Linked DNA regions of Arabidopsis thaliana. The protein of the gene in region 2 interacts with the protein of the main gene of each other region in a pairwise test. Each region holds a gene or a part of one and is shown on either strand. Other genes may lie near its edges.

The links. The genes of interacting proteins can lie anywhere in the genome.
Region 1: the proteins of AT1G29120 (region 2) and AT2G16900 interact in a two-hybrid assay, tested with the Arabidopsis thaliana proteins (one large-scale study listed by BioGRID).

What each region holds. Positions count from the first base shown.
Region 1 is NC_003071.7:7,321,732-7,329,389, forward strand, and holds AT2G16900 (phospholipase-like protein (PEARLI 4) family protein), read right to left. Parts: upstream 4,587-7,658; 5' UTR 4,155-4,586; exon of another isoform or gene 3,681-4,154; 5' UTR 3,644-3,680; coding exon 3,520-3,643; exon of another isoform or gene 3,299-3,519; coding exon 3,006-3,298; intron 2,858-3,005; coding exon 2,126-2,857; 3' UTR 1,884-2,125; downstream 1-1,883.
Region 2 is NC_003070.9:10,170,950-10,180,331, reverse strand, and holds AT1G29120 (Hydrolase-like protein family), read right to left. Parts: upstream 6,146-9,382; 5' UTR 5,852-6,145; coding exon 5,662-5,851; intron 5,120-5,661; coding exon of another isoform or gene 5,117-5,119; coding exon 4,969-5,116; intron 4,741-4,968; coding exon 4,673-4,740; intron 4,332-4,672; coding exon 4,261-4,331; intron 4,145-4,260; coding exon 3,899-4,144; intron 3,592-3,898; coding exon 3,428-3,591; intron 3,346-3,427; coding exon 3,290-3,345; coding exon of another isoform or gene 3,261-3,289; exon of another isoform or gene 3,198-3,260; coding exon 3,142-3,197; intron 2,719-3,141; coding exon 2,550-2,718; coding exon of another isoform or gene 2,521-2,549; exon of another isoform or gene 2,472-2,520; coding exon 2,374-2,471; coding exon of another isoform or gene 2,338-2,373; exon of another isoform or gene 2,294-2,337; coding exon 2,189-2,293; 3' UTR 2,186-2,188; exon of another isoform or gene 2,102-2,185; 3' UTR 1,811-2,101; downstream 1-1,810. Other genes in the region: AT1G29140 (Pollen Ole e 1 allergen and extensin family protein), read right to left, coding at 521-867, 1,135-1,303; AT1G29110 (Cysteine proteinases superfamily protein), read right to left, coding at 7,261-7,811, 8,196-8,649.

The sequences.
Region 1 (7,658 bases), on a different chromosome or scaffold from region 2:
CAACCACGTACGTATTGGCTTTTCAAGACTTATTAATATTCTAATTTTACAGGTTAAAGAACTAATGGAAAGAGAAACGGGAAAAAATCGCAAGACAGAATACTCAAAAATGGCAAAAGTAGCTTTGGTGCAAGGGACTGGTTCGTCTTGGAAGAATTTAGATTTGCTCTTAAGGAGTTATGCAAGAGTAAAGAGCCAAACGGTGCTAATGAGTTGATTGATTGAAGATTGGATAAACTGAACCGGGTTTAAACCAAAACTAATGTTCATTATGTGTATTATAATTCTGTGATATTGAATAATGACTCCGACATATCAATCATTTTTTTTTATTAACTCCAAAATGTTGTTAACGATGATATTTGTTAAAAAAATTGGACAAAAAGGTGATATTTCGGGGACAATCTTGTATATAGTCTACTTTAATAATTAGAGCTTTAACCCACCATGCACATACTATTGTAATTTCTCGATACTTATTCGACAAAATTAACACCCGAGACATCTTAAATGGTAAAAATATTTGATTTTAAGAACCTCACCACTTGAGAGAGTCGGTGTAATGTGTCCGTTTTTTCATTCACATTCTTTCTCTTGTTCAATCTTCACTTTTCCGACAAAAGAGGAAGAAGGTGAAAAGAAGAAAGGACACACATTGCGCCCACTCTTACTCACGTATTGTCTCAATTATTATAAAATGGTTTTCATTGAAAGGTATCTGAATTAATTAAATATTGAGCTACATTTTATTCATGTAGGTGCTTCTTTCTGTTAAGAAAAAAGTAAAAGAAGAAAGGACACATTACGTTTGCTAAATTCTTCTGAAACTAAATATTTGTGAAACAGAATACATATCAACTTTTCTTAAGAATTGTCATTTATTTGAAGAATCAAATATGAATTTACCATTTTAATTGTGGCATTTATGGATTTTGACACTTTAGCTAAAATCTTATGGATTTATCAATTTTTAGAATATATAAATATGATTTTTAACGTATTTTATCCTTTTTATTTAATTTTAGTCAGTTCCATTTATTATTAGAATTTATTATTTGTTATAAACTATGTATTATAACAAAATAATCATATATATATATATATATATATATATAATTTTTCAAAAATAGCAAATCCGTATGATTTAAACAAAAATGCAAAATCCATAAATATCATTAAGAAAAATTGCAAAAAATCCGTAATAACCTTTTTATTGTGAATGTCTGAGTTTGACGAATAATACAAATTAAAAAATACTAGTGAAAGTGGTATCAGACATGTTCATAATTTTGGAAATTACTATTATCATATGCAAACTATCACTATATATCACATCTCATGTTGAGTATAGTGAAAATCAATGTGAACGATATATATCATATAAAATTGTCCAAAATAATAGTTTAAATAATAAATACAATGCATATATTGTTTGCGGGTTTGTGAATATTTCAATTTTCAGTCGTTATGAGTAGAAACAATATTAACTTAGATTTATTGTAGAGCATGTCACAACATGGTAAAAGAAACAACATTATATATAAAAACTCATGTATATGACATATATACTATTGATAAAACACAAGAATAAAAGAGATGATTTTTTTTTGTAGTCCAAAATAGATGAAATTTAATTTGCTTTTTGTTATTGACAAAAACAATATGAAAAGAGGTTATTTAATCATATTAAGTTTTCGCAAGAAGTTATCTCATTGTAAAAAGCTGAAATGTTAATGAAAAAAAGAAGTTGATTATGCTCAAAGTTCACTTGCTGTGTTTCTTTGATTAGCCAAAGATTGCAGTCCAAACTCTCATCTCTTTAGAAAACACATGGTACAATAATTCATATCCCTACTTGTAAATATTATCAGTGTATTAAATAGCAGAAATAATACAAGATAAATATGACTATATGAGTTATTGATGCAAATATAAATAAATAAAAAGAAGAAACAATTTATTATCACCAAAAGAATTAAACAAGAAAATAATACTCTTTGGTGAATCTTCACCTTAATGACTCAGATCAGGTTTTGACTATTAAAGAACATCTTATATATCAAACATAAACTAAACATTAGTATTAATCTTCTGGAGTATTGTGTTTACTCTATATTAACAACCATCACAGAAGTTCATCAAGAAACGTCTTCCCTTTATATTTCTCGACCTTAAATCCCATCTCCTCCATCCGCAACCGCTCTGTCTCGAGCTCAGCGAGCTCTGCTTTCATCTCCTCGACCCTCAACCTCGCCTCCGCTACTTCCTTCTCAATCCGAGCCAAATCAGCTTCTTGAATCTCCATTTCTTGTTTCTTAGACCTCACCAATCCTTCTTGTCTCTCCTTCTCTGAGTCTGTGTTCTCTTGATACTGAGCAAACTCCTCAAGAACCGAACGCATCCAGCCAACGTCGATGTTCACAGACTCCAAGTCCTTGAGAACCGCGACCATCTCTTTTACTTTTAGTTCGGTTAACTGACCCACCGGGGTTGATCCAAGTTCTTGCATCAATGAGCATAGACACTCTAGGTATCGGGATCGCATTGATGCTGATTCTAGCTTGCAGTTTGCTGCTATGTCTCCGTGTTTATCAATGATTGACTGTAGGATTGTGGAAACACTTGAGTTCACACGGTATTTTCCAACCGAAACACATGAGTCTGACATTACTGATATAAGGTCTAACTCCACTCCCTCCTCGTAACCATTGTTTTCATCATCATCATCATCATCATCATTGGCGCATGATCTTGGAGGGCTTACAACATTAAACAAACTAATCTCACTGGCTGTGTCATTCTTGCCACTGTGTTCATGCCCTTGAGGTCGTGGTGATAAGGGTTTCCCACGATCAGCCTGAACAACATTGAAAACAAAACCGAACATTTTAAGATCAAACTCCTGCTTGTAAGAACATTACATAAAACCAAGACTCTACAGGTCTCTAATATATATATCATACACCTACGTAGATGATAAGTAAGAGAGGGTAACTAAGAAATACCATGCTGTTTGGGGATAGAGGAACAGTTCGCGATGGCTTCTCCTGCTTATGGTTAAAAGAATCATTCTGACCGTTGAGGTCAATAGAGATTCCATCAGACGATAAAGAGTGTAAAGATTTGTTCGCTTCTGGAACTGGCGTCTTCTTCATAGCTACTGGTGAAGGTCTTGATTGACGAACCTTTGGGGTATTAGCAGCACCATTCTGATAGTTCCTTGTACTCAGGGGTGACGGTGGCTGTGACTCCGTCTTTTTCTTACCAAAACTCCCCGGAAGGCTAAGAATCTTTGAACCTGTAACAACCAAATCACAATGAGAAAAGAAAGGAAACAACTTTGCAGATCCATCGAAAGCTAAAAAGCCTTGATCAAACTATAACTGTCATAACAGACAACCCTCCAAGAATTATCCTTGAAGCAATACCTAAAGAAGGACAAAGACAGAAATATCCATCACAACAGAAGCATACTCATAGAGTAACGGATCAAACATAGTGTGAGAACAGAGAAAGTACCTTGCTTCTTTGAATTCTTATTTCCACGGCCTTGAGAGATCTTCTCTAAACAATCTGAAGCACATTCATGGAAAGGATTTGAAGAATATCGACAATCCGGGTGAGCTTTCCGATTGACATCCATAGCTTAATCAATATCTAGATTCAATCAGAAACAAGAACTGCAAACAAACAACCAAAACAAGAAGCCTATCAGCATGAATAACAAAAAAAGAAAGAACCGAGCTCATCAAGAACACTAACAAATGTGGCTTCTCGAGTTCAACAAAGTCACTTCAGGGTATGTCAAAAAAGGTCAAGACTTTAGAACCTCAAATCAATAATAAACAAAATGGTTACAAAAATCAAACACTAGCATATAGTTCAACAACTCCAATCTGGTTTCCACCAAAAGAGAGAGAAACAAAGAAGACAACTTTACCAAAACATATACATAAACCACTGTACCAAACAATCCCCACAGGCCACAACAATAACTCGAATCAAACAAAAAACCATAACTTTATTATGGAACATCGTTATTGAGAAATCAAAGCAGACCCACAAAAAATCTCTGTAGCTAGAACAATAAAGCACCGAATTTTACGATCAAAGCTATAAACTTTTTGTCATACACATGAGAAAGAGAGAGTTACCGGAAAATTGGGAATGGTGAAGAAAGGTCTTTAGCAGAGAAGATGGAAGTAAATAGAGATTTTGTAGGAGAGGAAGTATATAAGAAGAAGAAGAGGAGGTTTTGGTCTGTCTTTGCATTACATTTGATTTGACCAAAAGCTTTAAAAAATTGAAGATTCGACGAGATTGACTATTAATTGGAATATTAAATGAGCAGGAGAATGGAGATAGAAGTTGCAATCAATCAAAGGCTTCCAGAAGTTGACAACAAGGAAGCTGCAGAGACGAGAAAAGGGAACAAAAGCAAAGCTGATCCTCCTCCTCTCTCATTTGTTCACACCTACTCATTATTAACCGACTTTTTATTTTAATAGTTTTAGTTTTTATTTCAATTTTATTTGTGGGGACTACTAATTTTGTTTTCTCATTGGTTTAAGATTTTTATTAGTAAAATTGCTAATTTAATTTGTAGTTGGGTGTTATTGGAAGTATGTTTAAGATCTGTTTAGTGATTGTTGTTTGATGGGGTTATCGAGAGAAAGGTTCTCAGCAGCTTAATATGAGGAAATAGAAGTTATCGTTAGATTATCCGTAGGTATTTTTGGTAAATCTCGTTGGTACTGTTTAGTGATTGTTGTTTGATGGGATTATCTTCGTCATTGTATATTTTTCATGTAGTTAGATAAAATAAGTTGCTGAATAATGTGTGAAAGATAAAAAGGAAACAATATGAAATATGGTATAAATATTTGAATGGTGAAAGGTATAATAAACAATACTTGAAATATATTGTGGATAAACATATTGTAAATACAAATGAATTAATAATTAGACATGTTTTTAAAAAGAAATTCTAGAAATTTTAAAATATGTAAGCTTAAAACAAAGCTACCTACACATTCTCATGACCATGAAATTTGTTTATTAGAAAATATTGAAAATCAATACTAACATAGCATTCGACCAATATAAAATCTTAAGGTATATTTATTGTTATTTTACATAGTAAATATGTTAATTTGATTTATTTCTAACATATTAAAAATCCAAATTGATCATTACATTCAACAACAGAAAAATACACTTTAAAACAAACTACAAATCAGCAAAAGGAATAAATCAATTAAAAAAATTCGTAGCAAAAAAAATACATTAAATAAGAAAAAACGTTTTTTAAACTTATCAAGAAAAATACATTATCCAGGAGATATAAAACTTAGAAAAATTAGAGTTTCAAATTATCAAATTTAGTAGAAAATTTTACGTTAGTCAATTCAAGATCATAAGCACTCTTCAAGTTTGCCCACAAGTTGTTTTTCTAAGTAAAGTAGGTATATTATTTAAATTTTTTAAATATTATCATTTTTATGCTAAACATAAATTGTAGTAAATTCTTCTTCATGATAGGTTCTCTATAGACATTTTTTTATATATGAATTGTAGATATTTTGAATATATATAGCAGAAAGCAATACAAGAATAAAAGTTCATGGGTTTGATTGGGAAAAGCTTTACAAAGCTGTACACTTTGTCAAAAGCGTTACAAACAGTTTACTCTCAACTTTTTTGTACAGTTTTCTCCTACAACTTTTTCATAGAGCTTTGCACTATTTCGGTAAAACTTACAGCACCAGCTAACAGATAAAAAACTTGTACATCTTTTTTGAATAAAACGTTATTGCCTCTACTGAAATGTTTTGGTACCTTCAAGTTCCAAGACTTTTGCCTTTTTAGTCTTTAATTTAATCTAATTACTCTCACTCTCTCCAATATCAATCATAGGCACAACAAAAATTTTCTTTAAAAAAAAAAAGCAAAGACATGTGTTGACTTCAAACGTTTCATCCACAATTTGATTTTGAACATTCAAATGCAAAACCCAAATCAACTTAGTTAAATAGTTTTCTAGACTCAAATCTTGACCACTTAATCACTAATCATTAGTCTAATCATGACTCAAATCAACTTTGTAGCTTTGACTCAAATTTTGACCACTTAGTCTTCTTTAATTTAACTAAAATTCTGACCATTAACATATCACAACAAAGAAGTATAGAGATACATACCCGAGCAGAGACGCATTCAGCTAAAGCCGTAGGAACAGTATACATAAGACTAGTAGTCTGAATCAAAATTCCAGTGGCAGCCACAACAAGCTTAGGATTCTCCAAGTATCCACCCATCACAATCACAATCTCATACCACCACCACTCCAAACATATCCCCAAACAACTCCAACATAGATGACAATTGAGCCACCACCGTAGTAGACCCACCATCACCATCACCACTCACTCTCTTCCGCAACATCCCACTCATCCAAACATAACCAACCAAAAGCACAACCATGATCAAATTCGTCACAACAGATGCAATAGCCACACCAAGAACACCCCAATGCTTCACCATCACAAGCCAATAATTCAACGGCACATGGAACACCATAGCTACTAAAGTACACCACATCATTGGTTTAGTCACTCGCTAGGACCTTAGATAAACTCGTAACGGCTGAAGCAGAGTATTGGTAAAAAAAATAGGAAGTGCATAAAGACAGTACTCAGCGGCTGTAGCCGTTATCTCCGGGTTTTGACCCACGAAGAGCATGATGGGTCCAAGGTTAATCCAAAGGACATTCTCATGACCATAAAGTCTCTCATTAGAAAAGTTGATGAACATCATTAATGACATATATTTCTTAATTCATATTCATTCGATTAATATAATATCTTAAGATTCCTTTTGTTTAGTTTATTAAAATATGTTAATTATAAAAAGTTCAAATATGTATTAAAAAATCAAATCAATCACTACAATTGATCAAACATAGAAAACAACAACAACAACAAAAACAAAATAAATGCACCTATAAACAAACTACATATCAACAAAATAAATGCATAAATTAAAAACAAAATTCAAAGCAAAAATAAATACTTTAAATAAAGACATATTAGAAAATAAAACTTCAAAAAGTACAAATTTGATGAGTTGAACAACACATCACATATTTCATTCAATGGTAGCTCACATTTTGTCATCGTTCTCAAAACTCAATATATATACATACATTTTGTTTACTATTTTGGGAAAATATGTAAATTATACCTTGATGAGTTTCTTGGAAATTATAAAAAAAAAAGCGAGAGGTAATATGAAGAAATTACAACCTTTTGCTTTATTTAGTTTGATGAACATTTTCAAACTAAAAACAAAAGATTTCAAGTATGAAACAAAGTATGGATATGTGTATTCATGGATAGATGATTAACCTAATTCATCAATCACAACCAAAACTCATAACTAAACAACAATCAGTTCTACATTTCTTCTTCTTCTTATAATTATCTCACTCTCATCAAATTCGAAGACCAACTATTTGAATGGGAAAATGATGTTGTTTTGGTGTGATCATCGTTTTTAAAATCGTGAATTTGTTTTTCTTCCGAAAAAGGTATTCTTGTTTGTATCATCTCTGCTCTAAAACTTGGAAAGAGATTACTTAGAGAATACATAAATGTAAA
Region 2 (9,382 bases):
CCTGGTGCAAACGCTTGTCGTGAAAACGCGTTTTGTGATTCAGGCCTAGTGGCTCAGACTAAAGGCCCAATATATACAAAACTCTGATCCGCCTTCTTTAGGTAAGGGTTCGATTTTATTTGTTGTCTTTTGCTTATTTCAGTTTGAGTCATTTACCTCAAACTATAATTCACATTATATGTTACATATGTAGCTTTCTCAAACTGTCATAAATTTCACTATGCATGTAAATGATTTAAATTTATTTTAGAGTAGGGTTTTTCACTACATCATGCATGTATCTGTTCAATCGAAAAGTAACAAATAAATATTGGAAGGTAATCAAATCATTCGTAAAAAAGAACTCCCAAAAATAAAACAATAACAACGAAAAAAAAACATGGTTAATTAGTAAACTCAGACAGACACATAAAAAACATAAATAAATGTTTTATATATTAAAAAGAGTCATCAAAAAAATTGAAAGTGTTGAGACTTTGAGAGATCGATGTATATGGGTGTGTATATATGTATATTAAGCTTAGAAGGTGACGTCAGGGACGATTCCAAGCTCCTTGAAAACTTGAGGGCATTCAGCGAGAGGAGTCTTCCTCATGAACCCAAGTGGGTTAATGGTTCGAGTCTCGTTGGAGACAATGCCATCATTGGCCGTGAGACTGATTCTGGCTGCGTTTCTTAGGAATTCTTGGTTGTTCACGTCTCCACACTCTGGGTCAGGTGATTGGAGGAGGACGATCTCGCACACTTCCTCTTCGTGGTCACCCATTACTTCCATCTGGTAGTTACCGGCGTTGTCGGTCACGGCTTCTTTGGTTAGGGTCACTGTCTGGTTCTCACGACCCTTGCACTCAAGCTTTACCTTTGCCCCTGATATACACACAATAACGTAATTAGTTTTTCTTATAATCTTGCAACACTAACTCTTAGAAATGTGACTAACCACATTTTTATAAAATTTTAACATTGTTAAAAAGACGTCTATATATGCTTGTAATCATTTTTGTGAATTTTTACTACACAATTCTAACCATTGACCTATATACCATAATGGGATCGATTTTTTATCAACCAATATATTTTGCTATTGACAGTATGCTCAACAAATGAATTTGATTAGAGAATGTGGTTAATTACCCTCGAGAAATTTGCTGATACGGGTGATGAATTGGACACGGCATGTGTCGCAGTAGACGGAGCCCTTGATGTGGAATTTGTCAAAGTCGTCGGCATCAGCTGCGGTGAAGTGAACGAGGGTGGTGAAACATAGGGCAGAGGCAAGGAAGACAATGAAGAATTTGGCCATTATGCCTTAATCCTTTTTTTTCTTGTGTTTTTACTTCGGTCTTCTCCTCTCTTGGATTTGAGAGTTTATTTGTAAAATTTAGTTTTTAAGGGAGAACAAATTGTAAGCTTTGGTTGAGAGGAGACGCTATGATAGATCCAACCAAATATCTCCTTTTATAGAGAACAAATAGACAAAACAACAAAACCATGTGATTCTATATCTATTTTTGGAAGTTTTTTTGTTTATTTTTGGTGTTTTTGTTCTTGAGTTTTGTACGGCTGTGTTTTCCTTGAACCCGATCTTTTCTCATTGCCATCTGTTTTTCTTTTCTGTTAATAATTCTTCATAGATTCCGTTTAGGTCTTTTTTGTATGAGGATGGTTTCCCAAATGTCAATCTATAGAATCTTATGTATGTTTAGACCTCCACTAAAAAGATTCAATGGGGGTGGAGAATTATCTACTAGACCCCAAAGTGAAAGTTTTATTAGTAGTAAATGACTAATTAATCTGAGCCGCACATGAAAGCTTTTGCACAATTTTCTTTGAATTAAGAAAAATTCCAAAAACAAATTGACTAGAAACAAATGTCTTCAGCTGAATCTGTTATTTTGAAGAGTAGAGGTTGAACATATATAACTTTTCTCTTTAAGAAACCTTAATCTATAATAACATCTTTCAAGTGTTGTATCATCAACAAGCTAATACAAGAAAATCATGTACAGATGAATTGGATTGTACTTCTTCTGATTTCGCCAAGAAAAAAAATAGAAGAAGCAAAGATGCGAACATTCTTGATCTGCACCGATCTCCCAAACTGTATGGTAAAAGCAAAACACAGGAATGGTTCAAATGTCGTAGCACACTCAGCATTAACGGGTCAAACACTCGAAATGCTCACGATTTATAAGCTGGCGGTAATAAACGTGGAAGACTCTTGCTGTTTTATACTATCTGCAACGTGTGCAATAACTCCAGCTCCTGCTTTGTAAAGTCTTTCACTTTTCACCTGAAACAAGACTCAAAATCTCTGTTAGTCCATGTTTCAAAGAATTAAAAAGCTCCAAAGTGAAGATGTTGGAAGTTTACGTGAATGTTGTTATGAGCTAAGTAAGGCCAGAAGGTGGAGTGGAAGCTGACATCAACTTTCTTCCACCCCAACCTCTGCAGACCGCGGATCATTTCCTCTGCACCAATATTTGTATAAATTGTAAATCTCATGCCGATTTAGAAGAATCAATCAAATGTTTGGGCTAATTCTACACCTTCCACAATTTCATGATACTCAAGTGTGTTCTGAGGGCTAGGAGAGCTTTGTGCGGCCTCCTTGGCTTTAGCAGCTTCTGGAGGGAAATGGGCACCATCTGATGAAACAGGTGGACAGTATTCAACATCAACAACATGCTTGTATCCATCCAGAGACCGGCGTGAAGGCTATATTAAAACAGGGGAAAAACATATCTATCAGATCTCACTCGTGACAGCTAAATAATTTTCAAAGTTTCATTTGACTGGTTACAAGCCACAGAGAGCTTCTTGCACGAAGCTACTTGAGATAAATGAATTGCCGAAAGTATTTTTGGTGATTCTCTACAGACAATTGTTTCATTTCTTAGACTCTTTACCTCTATGAAACTTTCCCTCTATGATTACTCATAATTCCAAAATTCAGGATAAGTTAGCTACCGTTAGCATTTCACAGCAAGCTAACTATCAATATCGATGACCCCATCATCTAGCTAGTGTGTGCTACACGTTTCAGAGTCGAAATCAACTTACATAATAGAAGGAACATGAAAACAAGTGGGGTAATATTAAATAGAAAGGTTCCATTGCTTCATATAGCATGAAACGTACCTTGATAAGTTCAGTTTCTCTCCTAATGGAAGATGTACGCCAACCAACCATGTCTACTTGATGTCAAAGGAAACAGTTCAGAAAACAAATGCAGACACAGCTAGGCACATCTGTACTAGTTAAACAGCAACAGAAATGCACAGGATACGGTCATAAGATACGTTTGCATATATAATGCGACTTCGAAATGCCCCCAGCGCCGATCTGCCAGACAATGAAATGCATTAGGATTACAGATAAGTCATTAAGGGGTCGAATGATTTAAATTGGTAAGAGCATTACTCACAAGAATTTCAGATCTTCACCATCAGATGCCATCCTCAAAAGAAGAGGTGGTTTATCAGCTTTACCATCAGTGAGGAACAACTGACTACCAGTCCGACCAACAAAGAATGGAGCTATTGGTGCAGCAAGTTTCTCAAGAATAGGAACTCCCAACAGAAAAGGCAGCTGATACAAGGGGTTCCAGAAAAAGAGGAGAGAATGAGATAGAATTTACAGGGATTATCAATTAATATTCATCACTCATCAGTCTAGACACTTAGGGGACCAAATAGCAAAAAACGCAAGACAGTTTTGATGAAACTTATGATATCTGTCTGAACACAAGGAGAAGGTAGATGAAATTTACATGTGAAAAACGACTAACTACTTTCTTAATTACGCATACACCACATCTACGTACAGGTACTGCGAGATATATATGAAACTCTTTGATTCCAAAATTCCAATTATGATAAGTAGAGAAGAAGAGAACCTGCTTTCTGCCTCTCACTCCTAGATGAGGTGTTGCCAAAGTGATGAAATTAATCGGTTCTAGCCCCGCAATCCTACCTCGCAGAAGATTTGAATTGCCAGATTGAGAGACAGCAACATCACTTACTTGTGCCATTGCTGCTGAGTAAAGAACAGCAACAGCATGTCTGGAAAATAAGCCACCGAGGGAGTGGGCTAAAAACGAAATCTTCTTTAAGCTCTTGCTCTTTTGGACAACTTGTCTAACCTATTCCTCTCTCACATCCAGAATGGGAACAGAAATCAGCTCATGTACTGAAGTTAAGGGCTAGAAAACCAAGACCTACCTATACACGAGGTGCAAATGAAGATATTAAAACTCACCTCTTCTGCTAGTCGTTTTCCAGCTCCATCGATCCCGCCAAATGTTTTAGTGAAGGTATTGGAAGAACTTGCTGTGAATGTTCAGGAGAAACAGAGTAAATTAAAACACATCACGTGTGATCCATTCCACGCATAGCATAAAAGCACATGAGTATTATAATAAAATACAAAACTAAAGAAGAGTTGTGGTTCCAGACGAAAAGATCTTAAATTTTTCAAGAAAATGTATATTTCGCCTCTTGCCGCTAAAGATTATATAAGACCTTGAAGTGTTTTCAATTTTGTGCCCAGCACATGCATTCAACTTACGTTACCATTTCATTCCCAAAAATTCTCTTCTATTATACATACAATCCAACAACTACTCAACTAAACTAATAGATGATAACAATTTAGAACAAGATGAGCATACCATAAATCAAGAATCTTCTTCCAAGGCGTCTTTTCAGCTCAGCTTCTACGTAGAGCCAGTCGCTGGGACTGCAAGTAATTGTGTCTTAGTAAATTTGGAGTCTATAAATTATTCAATCTGAAAACAAAGTAGCAGAAATGATAGACATAACTTTCTTTCTTTTTTTTGACAATGATAGACATAACTTTCAAATTCAAATACTTGCAAGTTTCTATCCAACCTAAAACAAAACCATGAGGGTTTCCCAAGATGCAAACCCAGTACCATTCAATTGATGAACTACTTAGAAATAATACCTGGCCAAAATACCATGTACAAGAACAAGAAGATGATCAGGTTCATTTTTGTCATCGGAGTCGCCTTTCGATAGCGAAAATTTCCGTTGGGCTGTGGAACTCATTGCCTGAACCCTGCGTCCCTGTTGGTTCCAGCTTCTGTTTGACCCTTCTTAAAGAAAAATCAAACAAATGAACCCGCGGAAAAAGCTATAAAGAACAGAGCCAATTCTTAACCAAACAAATCATACTATCACCATTTCTACTTAGCTTCTCACAATCATTTAACATGTTCAAGCTTATTTTCGATCGCAGAAACAGGGAAAAATCTGTTTAAATAGACACCGAAATTGTGAGCTCTAAATCAAAAGAAAAACAGAGCCGATTCTTGACCAAACAAACCATACTATCACTAATTCTACTTGGCATATCACAATCATCTAACATCTTAAAATCTTCTATCTCTTGCAGAAACAGGGACAAATCTGTGTATATAGACACTGTAATTGAGCTCCTCCTCAATCTAAATTAGGCGATACTATTCTTCACCATCCTAAACAACGTCTTTGATCGAGAAATCCTCAGCTATGAAACTTTGCAGTACAATGTCAGGTCATTTCCAGATGTAACAACGCATCATTCGATAAACATGAACAAAGTAATCAATCCCTAAATCTACACGACAAACATCATTCGAAGATCAAAGCCTATTACCGAAATCGAAATTCAAAATCTCCGAATAACCACAGGAGCACGAGGATGAAGGCGAAGGAGAAGAAGCGGAAGCTGAAACAACGCCGGAGGAAAACTGCCGCGCGCTGCGAGAGCTTGGCTTAGAGAAACCGCCACGATCCGGTAAGTATCTAAAAGGAGGTTGTTGAATCCAAGAAGAAGCCGTAGACATATTGATGTTGAGCTTATATATAGAGAGAGGAGAGAAAGTCAAAATCAGAGAAAGGAGTGGAAGAAAGATCCTTGATTCACGGTTTCTGAGTGACGTCACGCTTCAGAATCAAACATAATAACTCTCTCTACGTTATCTTCTTCACAGAGACCCATGCTCCTCTCTATCTCTTCCATTCACTGCCAAATAAACATTCAATCATCATCTTCTTCGACTTTTGCCAATTTATATAATTTGATTTTATTACTTTTACTTTATAATTTCGGGTGGTGCGTGTTGTTGTTAGGCGACTCAAACACAGAATATTTTTATTCCGTTTTATATTCAAAAAAAGGTTTAGAATCGGACCAGGTTCTTCTTCTTCTTCATCAACCAATTCACTCCAAAACAAAGGTCAAAAGAATACTATTTACAATTTTTTGGTATATATATATATATATATTTTCTGTTTTAAATTTTTAATCAATACTGCTAGTAGTTTTTTTTTCTTTTTTTTGGTGTAAATGGTAAGATAACACCAAAATATATTTGTCTACTAAACCGAGTAAAATTTTTATGGTTTTTGTAAAAATCCAATTGTTAACTTGTTAGTGATGCTTTCCAAAAAAGCCCTTACATGATATTGTCAAAGGGGTATCTAAATATCATATGGTGCGAATTGGTTATGTATATGTAGTGTACTAGTGTGTCGTCGTGGACCTCGAGGTATCATATGTAACCGGGTGTTGTAGATGTTGTTATATTGAAACTAAACTTTTATTTGGACAAGTTAAAAAAACAAATCAAGCTTAATGATGGATTCATATATAATTTTTTTTTGTTTTTTTGCTAATCTACTTATAATACTGCCTAAGGTATCTTAATCATAAGGATATCATGTCAAGATATCCATTATTGGTCGCAGAAATTTAAAGAGTTCCAATTCCTTTTCACAAAACGTTGCAACAATGTTGCCGCTTACCATTTAGCTAATATGGATGTGTAGATTCACCTTTCTATTTGGATGTCTCTAATCCAGCCCCATGGATTTGCCATCATTTGTACTAGTTTGATATTCGATTAAAGTTAATAAAGGTTCATTTTCGATGAAAAATAAAATCAAAATCTACTTGTAATTAACACGTCTTACACTATAATTTTAGTTTTATTAGCGATAATTTTAAATTTGGTTTTAAAATTTGCATTGAAAATTCAAACAATGTTTCTTATGGAACACGATTTAAGTGAAAAACACATCCCTTTATTTATTATGAAAGTGAGGGAAATACGTTTATATGGAGTAATAAAATGAACATATTACAGTTTTTAAGGTCAAGTTTAAGTTGCAATTTTACCACATGTAAACAATCATAAACCAGGCTACAAAATGTATGATCACTTCAATATAAAAAACCACCTAAGTAAATTAGTTAAAAAACCGGATAAGCAGCAACCTGAGCTATACCACACATTCCTTGAGGCCACTCCACATCTCTACGGATCCTCATGTAACCATTTTCTCCCCAACTCTCACCCCAAGAGTTCTTAAGAACCCAGTAGTTGAGCCCACTCATCGTTCCGTACCCAACGATCGTCACTGCATGATTCACGTCTGTCCCACAGTCCAGCCCAGCGTACACTCCCCCTTTGTAATGACCGAAACTGTCCGCTCTTGCGTCAATCAACACCGAGACGGGCTGTCTTCTTACGGCCTCGAGCAACGCACGCTCGTTGTGGCTTGGAACCATTTGAAACCCTCTAATCTGTGTATGTGGGGCGCGTCTGGCGTTGGCACGACAACTCTCCTTTTTCACTTGGTAAGGGTATTCCGTTTCTAAAGAAACGCCTCCGTTTTTTATTATGTACTTGAAAGCTTCTTCAAATTCTCCGCCATTGCAACCACCGTTTTTCTCTATGTCGCAATCTATTAGCTGTTGTTCGGACAGTGTTAATAGATTTTTGCCAGATATCTTTGTCAAACCTTCATCGCCCCAATCGCTGAGAACGCCCAACAACTTCCTGCCCATGTATATATATATTGGTTACTTCATTTTGTTAGTAAACAAATCATCTGTTAGCCCTAAACCTAAAATAACCCTATCTTGGGGATTAAGTTTAGCGAAATGTATTTTTTTGTATGTGGAATGTAATTTTGACATTAATTAAATGACCAATCCAGCCGTTTACTATATCGTACGTATATTGTTTTCCGACCAAAGAATTGCGACGAATCTGTTTCGTTGGAAATTCGGCTGAAACAAGATGTTCCGACAAATTCTTTGGTCGGAATATGCTATCCTTTCTTGTAACGCTGTTTCCAATTATAGTGTAAAGTGTTTATAATAAATGATCACAGTATTCTTACGACATGCTCCTTGATATTTAACAGGTGTTACAGCTCCTTCGTCTCTCCAGTCTTTGCTTTCGTCTTCCATGTCGATATCACTCATGTTCCAATTCCTTGATGGCTTCGTTTTATTAAATAGTTCGGATAGTGAAGTTACGTTAACGCGGAGGCCGGTGTGGGTCGCAAGGAACTCTTCTGTTTTCCAATCCGTGAACTCGTTGACACCAAGTGTATAGCTTTGGTTCCCCATATTATTGAAGTTCTCAATGAATTTCAAGTTTTTCTTGAACACTTTAAGCCTCATTTCTTTCTCGGATTCATCCTTGTAAACTCGAGAGAATTGAGTCATCCATTGTTGGTGGTAATCAACAATTGATTGCTCGTTCAAAGTGACATGAGGTCTGGCTTGAGAGATCCTTAGATCCATGGAAAGAATGGTTAGAGCCACGAACACAGATCGTACAGACACCATTTCGATTTTTGTGAGTAATATTTAAAGTGTTTGTGTTGTGGTGATGAAGAAGTGAAAATGGGGAGAAAGAGTTTTTATATATATATATAGTATGGAATGAGAATTGTGGTTGAAGCAAATGAAGGTTTATGACTCTATTGTGGTGATTTGCTTTACTTGCTTCATGATCTTAGAGGAATAACTTCTTTCTTTGTTTTGCAAGATAACTTTCCATTCTTTATATGCAAATGTATTGCTAGTAATGTATATATATTTCATCACAATTTCATTTTCTACAAAAAAAAAGATAAGATCTAGCTATATTTTATGTGTACTATAGCAACCTAGCTTAGGTTTTGGGTAGTGTTACATTTGCGTTTAAACCGTACATGGTTAAGGAAACAAATAAATTGAATACTTAAAAAGTTTTAGATCAACTTGATTTCACCAGTAAAATGGAAAAGAAAATAGATATAAATTTTCACCCCAACAAAGATAGTGAATAAAGAAATCCAATACTGGAAAACTATATAATTTTTGTAGTATTTATACATATATATATATACACTTTAAAAAGGGTAGAAATTCATTTTTTCTGATAACTTTTGTTTTTCAACATCTGTGATGCTAAATATAGACTTGTTCTAAATTAATAGCTTTAGATTTTTATTTTATTCTGAAGTAATAATATTTCACAGTTTAGAAGAAATAGTAGTAAATATAGTTTTTATTTTTATTTTAAGTAATGATATCT